Caenorhabditis elegans: one gene and its partner. The protein of the gene in region 1 purifies or fractionates together with the protein of each later gene. This does not show direct contact. Each region holds a gene or a part of one and is shown on either strand. Other genes may lie near its edges.

Region 1 (3,477 bases):
AATTTGGTCTCATCATGTATTTCAAAAGTGCCATTGATCCGGGATAAATCAAATGTCTTCCAAATGCGTGAATCGCCCAACTCGCCAGACCGCGAGTAACAACGCCGGCTTCAGCGACTTCTGGTTTTAAATGCCATAAATCCGAATTGGGGCGAGCTACAAAATCGGGAATCACGTCTAGAAGTTCAAAGTCGTACTTCTTTAGTGCTGCATGACTGTTGTCATCCTTCTGAAACGTAATTAATACATAAACATAAAGATTTCAACTGATACCTTGTTTTTTTCGTTTTCCCAAATATCTAAAAATCTCGAGTTTGTTTCGTCAAAGAGCCGACCGAATGTTCTTGCTCCATAACCGATTAGTGTTAAATATCCGGCATATTTCAGAATTGTCAGCATTCCAGCTGGTGTGAGCCAGTCTCGACTGTACAAGTAACATAATATTACGGGGCCAAAAGCTAATGAACTGGCAATGTAGTAAATTCCTAAAAACAAGTTTGGAAAAGGTTATGCTTCATAAAATAATATAACCTGCAGAAAACGATATGACGGTGTTTCCGAGATTTTCCAGTGTTGGTTCCTGTCGATTGGGTTGTCCAAAAATTCCATAAAGCCGTGGTCCCGAAATTTGCGTCCAGAAGGACGGCATTTCGACTAGTTGCTACTGAAATATGTAAATAGGGAAAACACAATTAACAAAAGACAATATAAAATGTAATGGACATATATACCATTTTTCAGAATTTTGATACAAAAAAAAACATCAATTGAGAAAAACAATTATATTAAATCAAACATGTACAAATAAGTTATTCCGTAATAAAAACTTCAAGTAGAAACTTCAGTTTTTTCATCATCCGTTTCTTCCTTCTCAACTTTATCTTTGTCTTCGACTTCTGTGTTTTGTTTTCCTTCAGATTCGTTATCAGATCCTGATCCTGAGTCTGAATCCGAATCATCTGATGAGCTCTCGTCAGATTCATTATTCTTTTTTGTCAATTTTCTCTTCTTAGCAGCAGCTTTTTGCCTTAATCGCTTTGCTCTCTTCTTCGCGGTTTTTGATTCTTCTTCCTTTTCAAGTTTTTCTACTTTGTGACGGTAGGCATCGTCCAATTCTTCTTTTTTTGCTACCGCATCAATGTAGTCAAGTCGATTTTGTTCTTTTCGTCGGTTGTTTCTGAAATTTGGATATGAAAAGACAAATTAAAAGTATAACTTTTCTAACCTGTAAATATGAAATTCAGCACTTCCGGCAGCAGCTGAAGAACCAACGACATTTCTCACGAATTCCAAAGGTTCTTTTGGCGCTCTCAGTGTCTCCTTTTTAATTGGAATTGGAGCGGGCTTGTCCTGCAATTATAACAAATAAAATTATTATATTTTTAGCTAAATTAAACTTACAATATTTTGTTGCAATCTTGCCAGTCTCATCCGAATTAAATCGGTTGCGGAATTTGCTCGGCGCTCTTCTTCTGTGATTGGATCATCTCGTGGCATAATGAGATTTTCTAGAAATTATCAAAAAAGAAATTAGTGCAAAAAAACCGGGAAATTTTATGTTTTATCCGCGAAAAATCGAAAAGATTGGCACGCTAAACTACACGCGCTGCGTCATCTCGGAGCGTCGTACTGCAGTTTCAAAATCCAATTTTTTTGTTTTGGCTTTCTTAGAAGCTACTTCTAGATAGGAAGTTGCTTATTATCAGTTAAAATATAAAGTTTATCAAATAATTATATTTACTTTTCATTATTCTATAGTTTCAAAGTCAACTTCAATTCATCATCAGCTTACAGAATGGAAATCAATAACGGGGCTCAACCAGAAAATGCGGCTGTTTCGATTCCGTCACGGTAAGTTCTGACGACCTCTTTTTCTCCAAAATTTTTAATTTTCAGCTCACCGTCTGGGAAGTCCGAAAAACGAAAAAGTCCAAGCATTGTTTCCGGCTGCCGTACGGTTATGAATGAGAGAAGCTTTACCAATTATTGGTCCGTTGAGCGCTTCACGGTACAATTAGAGCTTCACAATCCAGCAGAATTCATGCTGGCACCGTAAGCAAATATAATATGTTTAAGATTAATCAGTTTTACATTTTTCAGTAAATTTGGAGATGGGGATTATGAGTTTGTCATGAAACTATTTCCGAATGGGAAAGACGAAGAAACCGCCGGATATCTTTCACTTTTTCTGCTCATAAATAGTACGTAGAGAACTTTAAGTGTTTCATTTTTCGTTATTAAATGTTATTTACGAAGATTCTTTCCAGAATGCCCTAATCCTCGTCTCCGTTTCCGTGTCAGCTTTACAGTCGAAACAGCAGACGGTCCAAGAAGTTGCCATCTCAATAAGAATCTTGTTACGATCAATCGTAGTGGTATCGTGACTGCAAGCAAGTTCTTTTCATTAGACATTCTCAGGGTAAGTCGGATTGTTTTTTTTTCAACTTCAATTTTTTATTTTAATGCAGAGTGCCATGAATGTCTACATTCCTAACGATATTCTGACAATTGGATGTGAGCTCACAATTTTCGGTGAATGTACGACACAGATCTCAAGCCTGTTCAAGCCATATCAAAGAACTCACAGCGCTTCTTCAACATCTCGATCCCTATCGTCTCCCAATACAAAATGTTTGAAGATCGACGAATCGTCTGCGCATGGTTAGTGATTTTAACAGCTTGGAAATTTTCATTGTTTAATCACTTTCAGATGCATTCACAGAGTTTCTATCCACCGGAGAATTTAGCGACTTCATTATAGTCGCTTCGTGTGGTCGTGAATTCCCAACTCATATGTGCATCCTGGCAGCACGTTCTGAATACTTCAAAGTTCTCCTGAGAAATCATTCAACCAAGGAGTTTATGTCCAAGCGTCTCCAGTTTGATGACATTTCTGCTCGCACTCTTGACGTCTTGCTTCGCCATATGTACGCGTCCGCTGCTGGTCGAGTTGTGAAGCTCGAAGAGGATCAACTAACCGAGGACCTTATATCTGCAATGGATAGGTTGGATATTTTTACATTAAAACATTCTAGTATTGTTTTTTATCAGACTAATGATAAATTCATTGCGTGATGAAGTGGCTCGGCTCATCGGTTCAAAAGTGACTGTCGATAATGTGCTCACTCGTATTAGTATGGCTGCAGAGCTAAGACTTGATGATACCTATGACGTGCTTCTGGATTTCTTCTCGAATCATAAACATGAGTGCATGAAGTTAACTGTAAGTTAATGAGAGAATGAAATTACGTCGAACAAGCAACCAATTTCAGGCATGGGACGAACTTGAATCTGCAAAACCACCATTGGCCATCAAAATACTTCGAGATGCTTTCTCAAATACTGATTCACCTTCGACCACATCAATGGACAGCCGAATCATTGACCGCATCACTCTAACTTAATTGAATCTTTGTAAATCTCATGTCAAATTGATTATGTGTTTGCTCTTCAATCATATCTATTCATCCTTCTGTT
Region 2 (3,275 bases), on another chromosome or scaffold:
TATGATTGGACTTGGAATTAGCTTCTCCAGAATCACTGATAATAAGCATCATTGGAGCGATGTTCTTGTCGGAATTTTCATTGGAATATTCTTGGCTGTTTACACTGTAATATTATTATGAGTGTTTGGGAACTTTCGCATTTTTTCTGCTTTCAGTGTACCTTCTGGACAGATTTGTTCTCAAACAATTCAACTGAATCTGAAACACAACCTCTTCTGCTTCCTCGACCACCCCGTACTCCCAGAAACTCTGAAGGTTGGTCCATCGTAAATTTTAACTCAATTACATATTTTTTTCCAGATGAGGAGCGACATCGATTGGATGCAGTTTTACCTTCTACGGATAGTTCTATTGTTTTTGAAGCTACTGGACCGCAGGACTCGGATACAATTTTGTTGCCGGTTCCGCAAAGTGCATAATGCAATTTTCTTGTTTTTATTCGAATTTTTTGTTTTAAATATAAATAATTTTTGCCCTTATGTTGTTGCTCTTAATGCTTGAATTGAAGAAATTTATAGAGATCAGAACGTAACAACAAAATAAAGTACAGTTGTTCTCACGGGCTGCGAAACTTGGGAAATTTGTGTTGACTCGGAAAGCCGTAATAAATTATTTCAAAAGATTTAAACAAAAGTCAGCAACTTTAACGGGAACAAAATGTGAATTAAACTTGAGGAACGTGATACAAAAGTATAGGACGTTCGATACTCAAATTTGCTATGACCCGATGATAGCTTAACGACGTGGACCGCCTCCGCGTGGTCCTCCGCGTCCGCGACCACGACCTCCTCTTCCTCCGCGCATTCCACCACGACCACGTCCACGTGAAGCTGAAATAAAAATATTAATAATCTGTCGAAAAGACGCTTAAAGCTACCTCCGGCGCGAGCGGCACGGGCCTTCTTTCTTGGTTCATCGTCGATTAAAAGGGTGTCAAGAGCGAGTGGATCCGGCAAAATGATGTATCTGATGTTGTTACCTGAAAATCTTAAATTATATTTATTCAAATATGATTTTTAATAACCTCTGATTGAAAGCGTGTCGAGTTTGACTGGCTCCTTGTTCTTAACTGTCATTGAGACGGCACGAAGATGTGTGTTCATCGCAACATCGACTCCCATGATAGTGCCTAAATAAAATCGATTTAGTTGTTTAGTTACGTTTTTGCAGTAATTAAAATTATACAATATTATTCGGATTTATGACTTTGAAAATGTATCCTAATATAAAAACACTATAACAAATGTCGAGCAATTCGTGAAAGATTGATTTTGGTTGGTTAATAACTCAACTTCTCGATTAAAACACTTTCAAGCAGACAATTAATCTTAAAAAATACTCACCGGACACCTGAGTACCGTTCTTCAATTCAATATTGACGGTCTCGTGAGACAACTTCATCAGGAATCTGACCAACTTCATTTTTCTACCTGAAATACATACAATTATAGAAGAATAAAAGGAAACGATGGAATTCAATAGAAAATACGACGATAAAAATAACTTTTAACTGATAAGAAAGAGGTTATGACAAATAAAAACATCTGCATCAAGGAAAAATGTTTCAAAACAGATTTCCAGTGACTGGAATCCAGTCATTTTGAGCACATTCGAAAATGCAAAAGACTTGGCGGCATGCCAAGTGGTCTCGCAACGACTAGGAGTACGGTCGCACTCGTTTTCATGTGTGCGCTTTTGATAGAATTTCTTTTTCTTGACTTAGGACTTTCTCTTCTTAAAATTGAGATTGATTTCTCGAATTCATGTGTTTTTTTTACTGGGCTTAATGAACGGCGTTTAATAAATTAATTTTTGAATATAAAGTGATTTTCCAGAAATGCCGCGCCTCTATCTAGGAAAAATTCCATACAATGCACGCGAACGCGACGTTGAGCGATTCTTAAAAGGATATGGCAAAATTAATAACATCTCAATGAAGTATGGATTTGCCTTTGTCGATTTTGAAGATTCTCGTGATGCTGAAGACGCATGCCATGATTTGGATGGAAAAACCATGGAAGGAAGGTAATAAAATAATAAACCAAAATTAAAAATGTTCTAACTTTTTATTTTCAGCTCTATGCGCCTTGTCGTGGAAATGGCTCGCGGAAAACCACGCGGCAATGACCGTCATGGATCGAGATCACCACGACGACGTTCCCGCTCTCCTAGACGTCGTTCACGTACTCCACCAAGAAGACGTTCCCGCTCTCGTGATCGCAAACGTTCTCGCAGATCCCGTTCCAGAAGCTCCTCCAGATCCAGATCACCAGTTCGTGAAAGTCGTCGCAGAAGCGAATCCCGTTCGCCGAGCCCGAAAAGAGACTTGTAAGTTAACTTTAATGTGTGGATTGTTTTGGAAGGGTGCCACATCACGAACCGTTTTAGCCACAGTTCAATGAGAAATCAATATCACCTACAAGCCCACATCGCAATGGCATACACATAGCTGAGACAGTTCGAGCACAGTATGGGTCAACTATCAATACATTTCAATTCACTTCTCGTTCAGTCCCCACAGTTACCAAAAGCCGCTGTTTCGATTAAAAGAGTGAGATCCCTAACTTTGAATCAGACAACTTCGCGCAAACATATCGGTTTCGTATTCGAGTCCTTTAGATTCCGACTCTATTAAATGCAAGAATTATATTTTAGGAAGCGTGAAGCGTCGAGATCTCGTTCACCACTGCCAGCAAAAGATCGAAGCAGAACCCGAAGTGGATCTCCCCCAAAGGTAATTCATTTATGTGCTTGTATAGTAAAAATCATATGGTTTCAGAACGGCGGAGATAGAAAGCGCAGCGTGAGCCGTGGAAGAAGTCACAGCCGAGATGGCAGCAATCGCAGTGTGTCTCGCTCTCCGTCTCCAGGATCTCCAAAGGATTAAAATTGTGTTTTTATACCGTTTACTGTTGTTCATTTACCACTTCTATTTTATAATATTTGTTCATCCTCAGAGCTGTTCTGATTTTAATAATTCCCGAATAAAACCGAGCGGAGACTTCCTTCATTTTTTAAAAATATTTAAAGGCACATGGTATTATTCACACAGGTCTCACCACGATTACTTCAACTACTGTACAATATTGGGGAATTTGAAGGTCGAACGCAATTTTGGGCTAATTTACTGCTTTGTTATTTTTACTGTTCTGGAAATTGCCGTTGTACTTTTTATAGTCATTATTATTAGAAAAAACCTTTTACGAGATTTTCGAGCTAATTTTTATACTCATATATTGAAATAGAACGCAAATTTTCGAGTTTTCTAAACAAA

The links.
Region 2: the proteins of F37A4.2 (region 1) and snr-3 fractionate together in Caenorhabditis elegans (co-fractionation; one large-scale study listed by BioGRID). This does not show direct contact.

The regions. Positions count from the first base shown.
Region 1 is NC_003281.10:6,720,576-6,724,052, reverse strand, and holds F37A4.2 (PRKRIP1 family protein), read right to left. Parts: upstream 1,600-3,477; 5' UTR 1,498-1,599; coding exon 1,402-1,497; intron 1,351-1,401; coding exon 1,226-1,350; intron 1,178-1,225; coding exon 829-1,177; 3' UTR 770-828; downstream 1-769. Other genes in the region: F37A4.1 (alpha/beta hydrolase), read right to left, coding at 1-229, 274-485, 532-649; bath-41 (BTB and MATH domain-containing protein 41), read left to right, coding at 1,796-1,851, 1,897-2,052, 2,101-2,201, 2,268-2,419, 2,469-2,661, 2,711-3,005, 3,052-3,223, 3,273-3,404.
Region 2 is NC_003280.10:6,488,331-6,491,605, forward strand, and holds snr-3 (putative small nuclear ribonucleoprotein Sm D1), read right to left. Parts: upstream 1,432-3,275; 5' UTR 1,424-1,431; coding exon 1,345-1,423; intron 1,131-1,344; coding exon 1,026-1,130; intron 981-1,025; coding exon 879-980; intron 832-878; coding exon 737-831; 3' UTR 501-736; downstream 1-500. Other genes in the region: plpp-1.2 (Phosphatidic acid phosphatase type 2/haloperoxidase domain-containing protein), read left to right, coding at 1-106, 157-256, 302-420; rsp-5 (putative splicing factor, arginine/serine-rich 5), read left to right, coding at 1,839-2,026, 2,078-2,329, 2,657-2,735, 2,781-2,888. UniProt on the Caenorhabditis elegans protein: Plays a role in pre-mRNA splicing as a core component of the spliceosomal U1, U2, U4 and U5 small nuclear ribonucleoproteins (snRNPs), the building blocks of the spliceosome.